Linked DNA regions of Rattus norvegicus. The protein of the gene in region 2 interacts with the protein of the main gene of each other region in a biochemical or structural test. Links are inferred from orthologs where the notes say so. Each region holds a gene or a part of one and is shown on either strand. Other genes may lie near its edges. The genes, in order: Nup62 and Nxf1.

Region 1 (8,663 bases), about 110 Mb from region 2:
ATCATCATCCCATTGAAGCCAGGAGAGCTCCAGTAGCTGCCTGCTGAACCTCTCCCTACAAGGCATTCTCTCCCCCTTTCTACCCCATCCACCAGATGAAGACACCTCTACTCTCCCAATCCTAGTCTCAGATGACATCCCTAATCATTTCCATGTCCTGCTTAGGTGTCACAATCAAATACAACTTAGCAAGGAACAGAGAGCATCTCCTGTGACCAACTGCTGTGGATGTACCCCTGCTGAGCTGCAGCCAGAGAGAATACAGACTCCAAACCACCCACATTAAAGCTCCAAGGGGCCAGACACAAAGTGTTGGGTGTATGAGAATTATGGCTTCCTTAAAACCAAACAAACAAACAACCCTACAGAAACACCATAAAAATGTTTTCATTTTAATTCCAGGTGTTAGGATATGGGAGACTGTCCATAGCAGCTATGATTTGGCCTCATGCTCTAGCAGGGGCTTGATTTTGACAGCTGCAGATAGTTTCTGTGACTGCATGTTTAAAATTTTAGGGACTTTTCAGAGGGTACATAAATGCTAGGGCTCCTAGAGGTGTGTTGTTGGTCTCAGTTTGTTAAGTAGTTGTACACAAAGAAGAAACAAGAAGTAGTTCAAACTTGAAACTTCAGACAAAATCTAGACTTCGCCTTCCCAGTCAACTCACAGCTGTCCAGCTCAATCTGCAATCCCTTTTAGGTGTGGGTGTGGGGTGCTCGGCAAGACCCCCGGCCCTCTGTAACAGCTCAATCCTCACGCCTGGGCCCTTTCACCACTAACCCTCCCCTACTTTCCCTGTATCCAGGCTAACAGCACATATCTCCTAGAGGACACGGAATTAGAGAAAAGATGTGGCAGGTTGGGTAATGGCTACCCAGATTCATCTATCAGTGCCTAGGGCCTGTGAACATTATCCCATGGCAAAGCATTCAATGTAGACAAGTTACACGAGGGCTCCTTCAAGACTCAATTACCCTGGATTATCTGTAAGAGCCCAATGCCCAAGCACAGGGCTTCTATAAGAAAAGCAGGAAGCTCAAAGAAAGAAGCCTCAAGCTGGACAGAGGTAGAGACACCTGAAGGGACACAAGGGGCCTCAAAAAGAAGCAGCCTCTAGATACTGGTATGGCTAGAAACCCAGTGCCTTGGGAACTTCAGAATTCTAATAAGGTGGCAAGTGTGTGCTGTCTGAACCTCTTAACCTGTCATAACAGCAAGAGGGAATGAACCAGTACAGGTGACACCCAAAATGTGGGAGCTGTTACAGAAGCATGAGGCCAACTCCGCTGTGATTAAGTTACAACGGTGACTTCTAAAGGTGAGGTTTTGTAAGGGAAGGACAGGGGCTCTAGAGAACTCTGAGCACCTGGCCACGTGGCACTGCCCTTTCCCCAGCTGAACTGGCCTTGGCCCTCCTGTCCTTGTTTGCCAGGACACCCACACCTCCAACCCCCCCCCCCGCCTTAATGACCCAATTTTACTTGTTCCCAAGCACAGTGTGGCAATTATGGTATCAAGTTTTCTGTCCTCACACAAGCAACCGATTCAGAAGTGCTGCTGCCCATGGGGGTGCGGTAGGGCTAGCACAGTGGTGGGGGCTGTATGATTCTGGGAAAGAACAAAGTCCCGACCTTGTCCTCTATGTACTGGAGAAGATAGTCAAGGGCACAGATATCCATCTGTTAGGTAGATCAGAATGCACAAGTATGATAGGACAGAAGAGAACCCATAGCAGATTCTGAGCTCCTAGAAGAGCTTTCCCTCCACACCTTTAGCTTATACCTGCAGCCAAGCATCACACTATGCTGATGACGACTCATCCCTCCCTGTACCAGGTGGGTCCTTTTACTTAGGAAAATGAGAGACACACAATGCCATGTGCACTCACATTGGGAAGACAACTAGCAAGTTGGTGCCCACCCCACCAGGATGTAAGCATGCAAACTCTCGCCTATAAATAGAACCTATAAAGCCCAATCCTTTTCCATCACATCCGGTTGTTTCCGCGATTGAGAAACCAGGGCTTGCTCCATCCAACAGTACAGGTGATAAGAAGTAATTGGGTGGATAAGAACAGAGATATATTGAAGTGTCACAATGAAACCTCTTTGCATACTAACCAAAACAATAACAGCTACAACAAAACCTAGTTAATAGTCCAGGTTAGAGGCCTCACAGAACCCTGGAAGTTAGGCAGGGTGGGAGTTCTGTTCTATTAAAGACACCTGTGGCCATGCATAATTCTTCTTACCCTTTCTAGGCCTCAGTCTTGTCTTCACAAGCAAGCTATGGGCCTTTGGAATGGTAGGCCCCTTCTAAGGACAAAGCCCCAGATTCGCTGTGTTCTGCCCAGGGGGCTCCTATCCAGGTCTTTGCTACCTAGGAGCTGTTGCCAGGTGCTCTGTGGTCCCCAGAGAATTCCCTTACCCCTTCCTACCCATCAGAGCCACGGCTGATGCAACTGCCTGCAACCAGCCGCCTCACTCCCTAGCTCAGGTCCCTCCGCACTGGAAAAGAGTTCCAAGCAGCTCCACCCTTGCTTCTGGCTCCCCAAAGAATTTGTTTGTTTTTTGAGAGTAAAGAAACTAGGCTGCCATTTGAGACTGGGTAAGGGTTATAGACAAAGAATAACACACATGTTGGACACATAGCATGGGCTGGGTACTGGCCAAAGCTCAGGGTGGCAGGCCTCCAAGGATGACCACCAAGCACAACTGAAATTAAGATGGGTTTAGGGGTGGGGGAAGCATCTGGGTGGGACCCCAGGACAGAAAAAGGTTGTGCAGCCTTGGCTGTGACGGAAGCACCACAGGGAAGAGACTATGAGCTGGTACCCACTCTGCACTGTCTTTGAAACCTATCTCATTCCAAAAGTTTACTTTAAAATACTAAATTCAAGGAAAGGAGGACCATAGGCATTGCAACATGGCATACTGTTTCAAAAATAAAAAAGGGCACCTGTGGGGCCCAGGGATGCAGCTCAGGTGGTAGAATGCCTGTCTAGCATGCAATGCATGAAGCCATGGGTCCATTCCACTTCTGTATTAGTGGCAGCCTTTATGCATCAGTATCTAGTCTAAACAGACTCCACACAGAATTAATGCAGCCCATAGCTGGTAAGCTAGGGCTGGAGTCTGAACACATCACATCTCATGGTTACCTGTACTGGCAGCAGATACGAGTGCCCACTCCAGGCTGGAGAGATGTCTCAGCGCTTAAGAACACTGACCCGGGTTGGGGATTTGGCTCAGTGGTAAAGCACTTGCCTAGCAAGCGCAAGGCCCTGGGTTTGGTCCCCAGCTCCGAAAAAAAGAAAAAAGGGGTGGTGGTGGTGGTTGGGGATTTAGCCCAGTGGTAGAGTGCTTGCCTAGCAAGCGTAAGGCCCTGGGTTCGGTCCCCAGCTCTGGGAAAAAAAAAAAAAAAAAAAAAAAACACTGACCCATCCAAAGGTCCTGAGTTCAATTCCCAGCAACCACATGGTGGCTCACAACCATCTGTAATGGGATCTGATACCCTCTTCTGGTGTGTCTGAAGACAGCTACAGTGTACTCATACATAAATCTTTTAAGAGAGCCCACTCCAAGAGTAAAATTGCCAAGGACTTCCTGCTTGTAACTTTCAAAATCAGTTTTCCTCACCTGCTCCAATCTTTTTTCTTTTACAGTACCAGGAATAGAAACCAGGTCCTGGAAAGCAGCACTCTAGCCAATACTCTGCCACCAATCCCCCACCCCCAGCCCAGTATAATTGTTTTTTTAAATCAGGGTCTTTGTAAGTTCCCTAGAAGGCTAAGAACTCACTTTCTAGTCCAGGCAAGCCATGAACTTTTTTTTTTTAAATCACACTCCTAGTCAGCATTCAGACCTGTCACCACACGTGGTGATGGTGAAGGCCAGAGGACAACCGTCTGTCTATAGAGTTGCTTTTGGGTTCTGGGGATGGAACTCAAGAGGGTTGGGTTTAGAGATTACCACCTGAACTATCTCAAAGCAGCTCAGGCCCTGACCTTGACTTCCAATACTCCCGCCTTGGCCTCTTAAGTAGGTAAGATACCAGGCCTGGCCTTTGAGCTTTTTCTTTTTAAAAACACACTGAGGCCAGCCAGTATGACCTTGAATTCATGATTCCTTCTGCTTCCATCTTCCAAATGCTGGGAATATAGACAACTACCAAGCACCGTCCATGTGGTGCTGGGTGCTAAGGTTCTTGTGTGCAACAGGCAAGCACTCTTGAGTTCCATCTCCACCCATTCAGTCTCTCAGCTGCTACAAATATGATAGGCTGACTGGCTTCCACATGGAATGACGGCTATACTCGAACACGGGGCGGAAAACCGCCCCATCATCCTGGGGGACAGACAGGATCAAGAAACAATTTATCTAGTGGGGTCAGCAAGAGAGCAAGGACTGCAAGGAAGTCAGAGCAAGGGGCAAAACCTAAGAGGGTGGCATGATGAGCACAGCATGTAGCAAGTAGGGATGGCTGGAAACAGAAACCTTGGAGGTGGGACACACAGAATGATCATATGGATATGTTGGCTGGCTAAGAATCGGGGGTAGGGAGATAAAAAGGGGTGAAATCAGGCCCCCTCCCAGGGGTGGGGGCTTAATCTAAAAGAAAATAAAACGATTTTAGTAGTAGATGAAATGACTCAGTGGAGAAAGGCTGCCAAACAATCTGACCTGAGTTCCATCCCTGGGACCCTACTATATAGTAGGAGAACCAACTCCTGCTAGCTCTTCTTTGACCACCACATACATACACAATAAACGTTAAAACAAACAAGAAGGTTTAAGAGTCCTGATTAGGACTCCGTGGCCTACTTTCCATAGCTGGTATATTTGTGCGTATATCTATAAACAGCGACATCTCGCTGTTGCTCCCTTGAACTCGTCTATGAAGCCTAAGCTAGCTTGAACTCGCCATTCCGCGATGAGCTTAACCCACGAGGTCTCTCGGAGCGACATCGGTTTTAGGGACTGGTGGCAAATTTGTGAAGCAGGGATAGATAACGGGATGAGCTGGTTACGGGTGTAAGAGAGATCGAATAGGATCCAACCGATACAGGAAACAGAGTCCGGGCCCCCAGCCTGAAGCAGTGAGTGAAGGGTCAGGGCGACATGGCGGGCCCGGGGTCGCCACCGCCCCGTCGGGGCCCCGCGAGGGCGGAGCGCGGAGGGATCCAGGCATCCCGCGCTGCGCCGCCCCCGGTATATTTGTTCCCAGGCCCCGGGGCCGCCTCATTTTCAACCCTCTCAGCAGTCTCCCTTAACGCTCCTGCCACGCCGCCTCCGCCCGTGCAATGGCTCTGTAGCCGCGATCTCGTCGTGTCCCCCGCCCCGTTTCCGCGCTCACCGCGACTTCACTCTCTGCTCACACCGACTCTTCAACTGAGGCCGCCGCCGCCGTTGCCTCCTCTCCTTTTCGCAGCCATGGAGTGAGTAACCGCTCGCCCCTCCCTCTCCAACCGCCTTTCCCGCCCTTTCACAGAGCTCGCGGGGCTTCACGGGTCAGCCTCGTGGGGAGGGGGTGGGGAAGACGATATGAGGAACCACGGTCGCGCAGGCGCAGAAGAGGGAAGTCGGTGGCCGGCGCATCCGCTGAGCAAGCGCACTAGGCTCCAGGCGTGGGGGAGGGTGTGCTTCCGCAGAGTCTGGGGGCTTTTAAGGTCGGTTCGCGCGCCATTGCGCCTGCGCACTAATTCACAGACCCTCTTCCTCCTTTCCCCTCAGAGGATACGAACCCACACTCTATTGCGCATGCGCATTACCTTATTCCCGGCCTGAACTACGGAGGGCGGCCGGTAATTGGCTAAACACACGCACTGGTCCCCCCAGGAGGGTAGTGGCGTAACAATGAATCCGGTCCAGGGTCTGAGCTTTCGTCTTGCGGCTTAGCGAGCAATCAGCGAGGAAGGGTGGAGTTCCTCGAGGCTCTGACACTGGTCCAACTTCCCTCCAATCAGGCACCTGCTGGGGCGGGGACTGGCTTAGATTGACAGGGAAGGCTAAAGAACACCTTTAAGAAAGACTTGGAGCTAGAACCAAGGGGCGGGGCCTCTAGGGACTTGCTAGTTGGGGGCGGGAACTGACTTGACAGACAGGAGTGTGGGCGGGGCTTCCCGTAGAATCTGTAGAAGTCACCTAAAACTTTTAAGGGAAGAGTGGGATTTGTGTGTGTAACACTGATGAAGGGCCCAAGGCATGGCAGAATTATTCTGGGAACCCCTGTGAACTCTAAAGGGCGTATAGTCTAAAGAAAATATTGATGCGGAAGGGGCACGGCTAGAAGAAAATAAAATTACCTTGGGATTGAATTTTTTTACGAAGAGCAATAAGATGAGGTAGGTAGGAGGGGCTGGAAGTAATTCCCCTGGGAGAACACTAGGTTTCTGTGTTGAGGGAGGAGATGGGGCTGGGGAGTTTCCAAAAGTTGCCTTGGGAATGTATGGAGCTCTGGAATTTGCAGAAAGAAGAAAAGTGTGGGTAGCTTGTGGGTCAAGCAGCTTTGACTCAACCCCACCCACGCCACCTTGTCTTCCTCACAGGCCCTCCACCTTCGCCTTGGTGCCTGTCTTCACCCAGCTGAACAATCTTCCACGCTGCCTCCCAGTTGTTGGTGCAGCCTCCATTGCCATCGCAGCCCTGCACCTGTGCCTCAGCCATGTCACTCCTGGCGACCCTGGGACTGGAGCTGGACAGGGCCCTGCTCCCAGCTAGCGGGCTGGGCTGGCTCGTAGACTATGGGAAACTCCCCCTGGCCCCTGCCCCCCTGGGCCCCTATGAGGTCCTTGGGGGTGCCCTGGAGGGCGGGCTTCCAGGGGGGGGAGAGCCCCTGGCAGGTAAGAAACAGGTGAAAAAGAGAGGTGGGTTAAGGTGGCGGGGTGTGGAAGGACAGAAAAGGAAGGATTTATTCATTCACAAGATCAGTACAGAGGGCCTGCAGTGTGCCCAGCCCTGTTCTTCATGTGCAAGGTGCAGAGCAAGGGATACCAAAGCTCGTGGAAGCATCAGGAGACAGAGGTGGGAAGCCAAAGCTTAGCTGAAAGGAAGACATGGTTGAGAAGTCAGCCTTCTCTAAGTAGACAACCTCTGGATTGAGGGCTAAGGGATGGGCAAAGGGAGCCATGATAAGTCCTGAGGGGAGCGCTATCTCAGAGATTCTGAGGCAGGCAGTCAACAGATGGTTGTCCTAGACTGTGCCTGGTGGCTTATGTCCATAACTTCCCCTGTTAGAGGCTTCTCATCCTCTTGAGCCCAGGCCAACCTAGGCAGCCTGGTAAGAACATAGTTGTCAAACATCTGAGAAACACAAAAGGAGAGCAAATAAAGATGGAGAGAGTCACGCCCACACACGCAAACACACAGAGGGGGGAGGGAGGAGAGAAAGTGTGTGAGTATAATCCCAGCACTCTGGGAGAGAGTCAGAAGTTTAAGGGTTGTCCTCAGCTACAGACTACAGAACAGGTCCAAGGCTATCCTAGTCTACACAAGACTCTGTCGACAATAGATAAGTAAACAAGTGAGGGAAAGAGAGGAGACACTAGTGTGGGGTGCAGTCGACCAACCTGGTCAAGGAGAAGGATTATAGAGATGGGAGCTGACCTTCGTCGGGTGGGCCATTAGTTGGGCGAGTGCTTCACTGAGTGGCTGACTGATTATTTCATCGGTTAGTTGGTCAATTAATCGGTTGGTTGACTGATTTGAATCATTGGTTGGCTTGTTCATTGATTGGCTAATGAGTTGATTAGTTTATTAGCAGGTGGCCTGGTGAACTGATTGGATGATTGGCTGGCTGTCTTGTTCATTGATTAATGATTTGTTGGGTGGTTGGCTGATGAACTAGGTATGATTGGCTGGCTGGCTGGCTGGTTGGTTAGTTCATTAGTTAGTGGCTTGATGGGTAAACTAGCTAGCTGGTTGGTTGATTGGTTGATTAGTTTCTTCCCTAACTCACTGGTTGCTGACAGGTCTATAGATTGGATGGTTGGCTGGCTGGTCACTTGTCACATTGAGTGAATGGGGCATGAATGAACACCAAGTGGATAAAGCACAGACCTTAGAGATTTTTATGTCCTCCCCCCACATCCTCAGGTGACGGCTTCTCTGATTGGATGACCGAGCGGGTGGACTTCACAGCCCTCCTTCCTCTGGAGGCCCCTCTGCCCCCAGGCACTCTCCCCCCACCCTCCCCTGCCCCCCCTGACCTGGAAGCCATGGCATCCCTACTCAAGAAGGAGCTAGAACAGATGGAAGACTTCTTCCTTGATGCCCCACTCCTTCCACCGCCCTCCCCACCTCCACCCCCACCCCCAGCACCCTCTCTGCCCCTGCCCTTACCCTTGCCCACCTTTGATCTCCCGCAGCCTCCTACCCTGGATACCCTGGACTTGCTAGCTGTTTACTGCCGCAGTGAGGCTGGGCCAGGGGATTCAGGCTTGACAACCCTGCCTGTCCCCCAGCAGCCTCCTCCTCTGGCCCCTCTGCCTTCACCCTCCCGACCAGCCCCCTATCCTAGTCCTGCCAGCACCCGAGGGGACCGCAAGCAAAAGAAGAGAGACCAGAATAAGTCAGCTGCTCTCAGGTACCGCCAGAGGAAGCGGGCAGAGGGCGAGGCCCTGGAGGGCGAGTGCCAAGGGCTAGAGGCGCGGAATCGGGAGCTG
Region 2 (8,593 bases):
TCTACATCCAGATTTCCCCTCCATGTGTCGCCTTGCCTATCCTCCTGAACTCCCTTCCTTAACTCTGTTCTTAGATGTTCTAAGATATTCATTTGAGGAAAGGATAGATTAGTATACTTCACTGTTGAGTGAGTAAACATTAGAGAAAACACATTTGAGGAGCTAGAGGCAGGTGTCAAAACACTCTGACTGAGTCCAGTCCTGTTTTCTGAACCACCTTACTCATCCAAGTACTCACTGTAATCTTGAACCAGTTCTTGGTGGTCCCATCTTGACTGGTGCCAGCACCTCCTCTTTCTTGAGGAGCTCTGTCTCTCCGTACAGTAACATGAATCCGATCTCGATCATGCCAAGTATCTCTCCGACGGTTAGGTCGGCTGGTATAGGGGTTGCTGTTGGGAAGCAGAATTACATTTCCATAAACACTAGGGAAGATGAACCAGTCCTGCTAGGGAAACTACAGCTACTAAACTGATTCTGTCAAGTATCACTTTACAAGGTGAGACGAGAAACGACAAAGACAATAAATAACAGGTCTACATAATTCAGTGGGTCACTATTCAAAGCAGACCAATTATTCACTTACTATCTCACTCGGGGGCCATCCTGGGGATCATTCATTGCCACATCTCCATCATCTTCCTCAAACCGGGAAGACCGTATACCAGAACCACCTCTTCCAGACCTACGATTCCCCTCACCACACTTCCATCGGAAAGGCCCCCGACCTTTCTTTCTTCTTTGTGGGAAACTAACACGGTCATCATGTTCTGGAGATGGAAACAGACACAGAAATTAGTAAATATATGAGGGGTCCTAGTTACCTTGGTGTAACCACCAGTTTCTAGTACTCTGTACTCTTAGAAAAAACAGATTTTAACTACAAAGGCTTCCTCCATAGAGATGCCTATGCCCTAGCCAGAGCAAAGAACTTTCTCTAGGACATCAATATCATGAACAAGTTATTGGAAACTATAGGGATGTTGGAAAAGGGTCAAGAATGTACCTCAGGGCACTGGAGAAATAACTTACCACACTGCCATCACAGGGTTTCTCTGTGTAGCTCTGGCTATCCTAGAACTAACTGTAGACCAAGTTGGCCTTGTAGATTCACCTGCCTCTACCTCCCCAGGTGCTGGGATTAAATGAGCCACCACCCCCTGTAAGATGCCTTTTTTTTTTTATTTATCCCTTTAAAAAAAAAAGACTTATTTATTTTATATATGTGAATATACTGTTGCTGTCTTCAGATACACCAGAAGAGGACATCAGATGCCCATTACAGATGGTTGTGAGCCACCATGTTGGTGCTGGGAATTGAACTCAGGACCTCTGGAAGAGCAGAGCCATCTCTTCAGCCCCTACTTATTCTTTTTTTTTTTTTTTTTTTTGGTTCTTTTTTTCGGAGCTGGGGACCGAACCCAGGGCCTTGCGCTTCCTAGGTAAGCGCTCTACCACTGAGCTAAATCCCCAGCCCCTCTTTTTTTATACAATATATTCTGACTGGGGCTTCTCCTCCCTCCACTTCTCCCAGTCTTCCCCCACCCAACTCCTTTCTCCCCCCAGATCCAGTGTTTCTCTTTTTCCACATCTGCTCCCATTAGCTTCTGGGAAGCCTCTGTGTTTGGGCTAGGAATAGTGTTCTTAAGAAAACTAGCTGCGGGGGTTGGGGATTTAGCTCAGTGGTAGAGCGCTTGCCTAGGAGCGCAAGGCCCTGGGTTCGGTCCCCAGCTCTGGAAAAAAAAAAAAAAAAGAAAACTAGCTGCGGGGTGGGCATTTAGCTCAGTGGTAGAGCGCTTGTCTAGCAAGCAAAAGGCCCTGGGTTCGGTCCCCAGCTCCGAAAAAAAAGAAAAAGAAAAAGAAAAAAAAAAAAAAAGGCAGAAGGGAAGAGCCTCCCCAGAAGTTCATATGAACAACCTTAACTAAACTCAGTAGGTTAGAGGCTGGGGGGGAAAAAAATCACTCAATGATTAGAGCACTAGCTGCTCTTCTAAAGGACCCAGAATGGGCTTCCAGCACCCACACAGTAGCTAACAGCTGTGCACTGTAGTGTAGGTGCTGAGAATCAAAGCTAGTATTCTGGAAAGTGTTCTTAAGCAATGAGTCTCCGTGAGTATATGCTTGACCCTTTTATTTTTCAATATTCCTAGGTTTTCCAATAACTTGTTCCTGATGTTGATGTCCTATAGAGATCTTTCCTTTGTCAAGGGCTCTGATATCTGCATGGAAGTGGCCTCTGTAGTTAACTCCAGGGAAGCCAATGTCCTCTTCCAGCCTCTGCAGGCACCAGACATACACATGATAGAAAAATAAACACATAGGCAAAATACTCAGACACAGAAAAAAAATAAACTCTTAAAAACAAAGAGTAGGGAGCTGAGAGATGGCTCAGGGCTTAAGAGCACTGGCTGCTTTCCCAGAGGTCCTGACTTCAATTCCCAGCAACCACATGGTGGCTCACAACCACCCTTAATTGGATCCAATGACCTCTTCTGGTGTGTCAGCAACAGTGTGCTCATATACATAAAATAAATAAATCTTTAAAAAAAAAAAAAAAGAGTAGGGCTAGAGAGATGGCTCAACGGTTTAGAGCACTGGCTGCTCTTACAGAGGTCCTGAGTTCAAATCCCACAGTGGTTCAAGATTATCTATAAAGGAATCTGATGCCCCCTTCTGGCATGCAGGTGTACATGCACCAGAGCACTTATACATTAAATAAAGTAAGTAAACAAAGTAAATAAGTAAAAACAAAAGAGTAATGAAAGGGGCACACAATCACAATACACTGTGTATTATATGTATAAAATTGCCAGAAAATTTAGAATTTAAAGAAAAAAGGGGTTGGGGATTTAGCTCAGTGGTAGAGCGCTTGCCTATCAAGCGCAAGGCCCTGGGTTCGGTCCCCAGTTCTGAAAAAAAGAAAAGGAAAAAAAAAAAAGAAAGAAAGAAAAAAGAAAAACAAAAATACCCAGAAACCAGTTCCTACAGAGAGTAGAATGTGGAAGTGTGAGCAACCCCAAAATCTAACCAGACCCCTGAAAAACCACGTGAAATCTGCCACTTGCTGTACAATTGATGGTTACAGAGCCAGATGTTGTGGCCAACACCTGTAATCCTGGCAATTGGGAAGGGGAGGCTTCAATTACACAAAGTTTTCAAAGCCATCCTGGGCTACATGAGATTCTCGAAAAATAAAGAATTCTTACAAATATGATGTAAAGTCTCTTAAAAACAACTACCATCTTCTGCACTCTGAATTTAGGAAATGCTAGTTTCTTTGGGGAAAAAAAAAAACACCTCAAGGAACTTCTAGATTCAGGGTCTGGTGCAGGTTCCACATTAGAGTCCTCCAATATAACTAGTGTTTGAAGCAGGAGGAATCCAAGTTCCAGATCAGCTAAGAGTATACCTTAAAAAGGGAAAGAAGCGGGGCTGGGGATTTAGCTCAGTCGTAGAGCGCTTACCTAGGAAGCGTAAGGCCCTGGGTTCGGTCCCCAGCTCCGAAAAAAAAGAACCAAAAAGAAAAAAAAAAAAAAAAAAAAGGGAAAGAAGCCAAACATTGTGACCCACAACTTAATTCCAGACAGTGGCAGAGTTCTGAAAGCCAGCCTGGTCTTTTCAGTGTGTTCTAGATCATTCAGAACTACACTTTGAGACACTGTTTCAGTAAACAAATACATAAATAAATAAATAAATAGAACCAAGTGTAGTAGTACACCGTTTAAGGGAAGAGGATCTGAGCTACACAGAGTTTAAGGCCAGACTGGGATTGAAACCCTGTTTCTCTTAGTGTTTGGTCTGCCTATATATAGACAAAACGAATAAAAGGAGGGCTAAGGATACTGATTAGTTGATAAAGTGCTTGTCTATCCTTCCACACTCAAAAAGATCACCCAGACTGAGGCTGAGGCAGAATTCAAAACTTCAAGTCAGTCTGGGCAACTTGGCAAACCATCTCAAAAAAATAACAAGGGATGGGAATATAGCTCTGTGGGAGAACAGAAAGCCGGGCACACTATGTATGTAGTGGAGGATGACCTTGAACCTCTCTGATCCTCTTACCTTAAACAATGTACTACTACACTTGGTTCTATTTATTTACCTTTTGTCAGACCTTAAGTTCAACCCTAGAACCAAAAAAAAAAAAAAAAAAAAAAAAAAAGTAAACCGTAAACATCTGTGAGGCAGGCATGGTGGGTGGCACATGCCTGCCTGCAATGCTGAGCTTGGGAAGCTGACACAGTAAGACTGACTGAAGCCAGCCTGGGCTGACCCTATAAGGGAGAATTAGCCTTTCCAAGGGACAAACTCCCCAAATGGCTAGCCAATCCCAAATGGTATGCTTTACAAACTAATACATAACACTAAATGAACTCAGCAAGTTGCATGAATTTGGCGAGAGGAGTGGATGACAGGTGAGTGGCTGGAGGAAGGAGATCAATTATATTTGAATTAAAATAAAAGGTCATTGGGTAGAGATTTTTCAGGCATAGATAAGTCATCAGCACCACACAAGCACAAAAAAAGATTCATAACTTTCAAAGAAATCTACCTAATTTCTAGTATCTAATACCTAATATCAAGTGACCCTAGTAAAAAGGAATACATTAAAGAGACAGTCCAAGTACGGTTCACTGAAAAATCCCCACTCCAGTCACTGTGTTTGAGGCACTTAATAAAATGATCTCTCTCTCTCTCTCTCTCTCTCTCTCTCTCTCTCTCTCTCTCTCTCACACACACACACACACACACACACACACACACACACACACACACACACACACACACACGGGACACGGGAGACAAGTACCCACATGAAAGAGATGGAAAACAAGGCCTCAAAGTTTAACTCACTCGGGGTTAGCACAGCCAACTTCAGATTCAAACCTCAGCTGTCATACTGTCCTAACCACCACAATGAATTAACAAGTCAGGGTAGGTGTGCGGGCTAGAAAACTGGGTAAACAATAAGCAGCAAGCTGCAAGAACAGACTGATCGTATTTAAAAAAAAAAAAAAAATAGGGCACCAGGGTAGCCTGACTACTGACTCACATTTAAAGGAAGAGTCCGGCTGCCAAACTGAACTGACAGGCATCAACCACCCTCAAAGTTGAAAGGAAATCTTGTCACCTCACCCCTGAGCCACAGGTCCTCCAACGCCAGAATCCGGGCGACTCTGGAGTCCCCGGGTCCCGCGGCGTCCCGCGCCCCCTGCCCGCGCGGCCACCGCTACCTACGGACGTAGGGCTCCTCGCGGCCTCCCGCCCCCGGGCTGAGGCCTAGGCCGGGGCCGCCCACCCTGACCCACCGCGTCGCCTCCCGGCCCGAGGCCCCGCACTAACCGTTGTATGACTTCCCTTCGTCCGCCATGGCACAGGCAGGTACAGGGGCGGGCTCAGGCGCAGAACCTGACGCCACCAAACACCCGGACGCCTTGGCGCTCAGGACAGAAGCTCTCCTACGACCGGCGCCACCGCATTTATCCGGCGAAGCACGTCGCGCGCAGCCGACGTCCCCAGGATGTGGGCGGTGCCGCGGGGCAGGAACGCGCTCTCTGAGCCTGCGCAGAAGCAGGGCGGCCGCTCGGAGGCGTGGCCAGGCCCTCCGAGGCCCGCCCACGGCCGGAGCTCGGGGCGCGATGGCTTGTAGGTCGGCCCCGCCTTCCTACTTCTCCGCTGGCCCGCAGCGCTGAGGTTTGCGCTGGAGCTGAGCGGTCTGCTTTAGCCCTGAACTCAGGAGCAGGGACGAGAGCTACACAGAAGAATGGAGACCTGGCCTCTGAACGGGAGTAACGGATCACAGTCCACGCAGGTGGGATCCCGGCAGCGTGTAAGTCGCAGCGCAGTTCCTTGCCAGCCGCCGGCTTATGCCCTCCCAGCCTTTCTCGCCTCTACGACGGATTATGACGAAATAGAAAATTGGAATGTAAGCCCCACTGGAACAGGAACCTTAACTTATGCGCAACTTTTCTTCCTCCAGCGTGCCTGGCACAGTATCATGCCCATTGTGAAACCCAAGTGTGAATTAAGCGAAATCCTGTCCTGTTCCCTTGTAGGTCTTCTACAAATTGCCTAATTAAAGCGTCAGGCGAGCTGTAGTGGCGCAGGTCTTTAAACCCGTATTTGGAAGGCAGAGGCAGGTGGATCTTTAAATTTGAGGCCAGTCTCAGCTCTATAGAAATTTCTAGAATAGCCAGAGCTTGTAGAGGCCCTGCCTCAAAAAAAAAAAAAAAAAAAAAGCTTTAGTCTTAGTACCAGTATTTTTGTCGACATAGCCAGTACAGAGATAGCGAAGGCTACATAGACGGTCTCAAAACAAAATTAGTAATCTAGTGAGCTATGATCTTCACCCCCAAGGCCCTGGCCATCATGCTGAAGCCTAATTGGTAAAACCCAGGTTAGCTAGGTAGGTAGGGAAAGTTGCTAGTATTGAGTGGTTTTGTTTGAGACAGGGTTTCTGTATAATTCTGGCTGTCCTGAAACTTGCTTTGTAGACCAAGTTGGCCTCAAACTCAAGAGATCCACTTGCGAGGTTGGGGATTTAGCTCAGTGGTAGAGCGCTTGCCTAGCAAGCACAAGGCCCTGGGTTCAGTCCCCAGCTCCGGAATAAAAAAAAAAAAAAAAAAATAATAATAATAATAATAATAAAAGAGATCCACTTGCTTCTAACTCCCAAGTGCTGGTTGAAATTTTTAGATGGCAAACCCAAGAGCTCTTCTAGTAAACCTTTGGTGTGACTAGGACTCTCCTCCATTCCTTGGACCCAGATGCTGCTGTAGGAGGGGAATCAGATGGGGCACTGGTAGGCACGGAGCATGACTTTAACACAGATCAGAAAGACAAAACAACTCATTAATCTCCCTTGAGGGTCTGTGTTAGGTGGGTCACCTCCATTTTGCAGTGGTTTTGCTCAGGATCTTAGAAGGTGCCAAAGAGCTGGGTACAAATTGGAGCTGGGCACAAATGCTCTTCACCCAGCAGCAGAGCTCTTGCTTCACTCAGTTCAAAAATCAGGACCAGGTGATTTGAAGATACAGGTTAAACAGGCTCAAACTGTTTGGGACAGCCCTAGAAGTTGACACCCAATAATGAGTCCACTTAGCTCCAGTTCAAAGGAAAATTCTAATTTAGTGCTGTTGTTACTTGGCCACTCCCTTTTAAGAGGGAGTTGTGGGTACAGAGCTCCAAAGCTGCTCTGCCTATCAATGGGGGCTGTCAAAGCCACCAACTTAACCCTTTTGGTTCTGGTATTAAGCAGTGGTTTGCTGGCTGCGGAAGCCCACGACGATCCCACCCAGAAACGACAACATCACTAGTGAGGCTGACAGTCTTGCTGTAATTGGGAGGAAACAGGCTGCAGCATGTTTGGCAGATTGAGAGTCACCAGTAGCCAAAGTCAGGTTTGTGCAACTGTAGGGCTCAGAGCCCCCCCCACCTCACATGGTGAGGAGAAGGTGGCAGTCAAGTTCTAGATGACCCAGATGATTAAGTTGGTCCCTGGGATAGTTTTACTTCCTCACCTCACTCTCCAGAAGGCAAGGAAGGGCATTGTTTCCTCTTGCTGCCAGTTACCTTTAGGGGAGGCTGGTCTGGGTTTATAAAAATCTCATGGTAGAGACAACCTCCCCACTGGCCCTAGCTGGCTTCTGTTCCCTGCCACTTCACAGCAGAGGCCAAATCCAGAACCAGTGTGTTTCATGGGCCTGAGGGTAGGACAGAGTGGCCAGAGACAAGGGTGGGGAATCAGGGACACTGGCCATTCTTAGCAGTTCCAAGGAAATGGCCTTTCTCCCAACTACCCTGCACAGGCTCAGTGGCAATAGTGGCCACCTGTCCTTCCAGAAGGGTTCCAGGCCCTCCATGGAGTGGCTCAGAATGAGGGAGGAGGGTTCAGGCAAGGAAGACCACAAAGATGATGAAGAAGACAATGAGGATGAGGAAGATTTTGACCATGAGCCACCGATTGGAGGTGACTGACTGGAAGTACTTGAGGATCTCTGAATGGGCGGCCTCAACATCCAGCTGGGCTCCAAGCACATTCTCGTCAATCCTGGAAACAGGAGATAAAACAGAGAGGAACACTGGGTTGAAGAAGGTTAAAGACATCCATTTATTGATATGGGAAGCTGATCACAATATGTAGAAGTAAAAAGTATTTGATACTACGTTAACTGTGTGTGTGTGTGTGTGTGTATACACATACATACATACATACATACATACATACACACACACACACACACACACATATCAAGTTTTTTGAGGGTAGTAGATCATGTTTGATTCTAGCTTTAAAGTGTCCTGCCAGTTATTAGCTTATGATTGAATTATTTAACCAGTCTTATTTTCCACATCTAAAAAATGAGATAAATGATATAAACCCTACTCCTTTCATGAGATTTCTTATTTATCTGTTTTTTTTTTTTATTTAAAGACTTATTTATTTTATGTATGTGAGTACACTGTCACTGTCTTCAGCCACACCAGAAGAGGGTAGGAGATCCCATTACAGATGGTTGAGAGCCACCATGTGGTTGCTGGGAATTGAACTCAGGACCTCTGGAAGAGCAGTCAGTGCTCTTAATCACTGAGC

Evidence for each region.
Region 1: the proteins of Nxf1 (region 2) and Nup62 form a complex in vitro, tested with the Homo sapiens proteins (3 studies listed by BioGRID and IntAct). The link is inferred for Rattus norvegicus from reciprocal best matches to the Homo sapiens genes NXF1 and NUP62.

What each region holds. Positions count from the first base shown.
Region 1 is NC_086019.1:104,432,780-104,441,442, reverse strand, and holds the start of Nup62 (nuclear pore glycoprotein p62), read right to left. Parts: upstream 5,416-8,663; 5' UTR 5,357-5,415; exon of another isoform or gene 3,832-5,356; intron 3,695-3,831; exon of another isoform or gene 2,253-3,694; intron 1-2,252. Other genes in the region: Atf5 (cyclic AMP-dependent transcription factor ATF-5), read left to right, coding at 6,665-6,842, 8,095-8,663. UniProt on the Homo sapiens protein: Essential component of the nuclear pore complex. The N-terminal is probably involved in nucleocytoplasmic transport.
Region 2 is NC_086019.1:215,081,409-215,090,001, reverse strand, and holds the start of Nxf1 (nuclear RNA export factor 1), read right to left. Parts: upstream 5,440-8,593; 5' UTR 5,372-5,439; coding exon 5,344-5,371; intron 771-5,343; coding exon 587-770; intron 393-586; coding exon 239-392; intron 1-238. Other genes in the region: Stx5 (syntaxin-5), read right to left, coding at 7,891-8,050.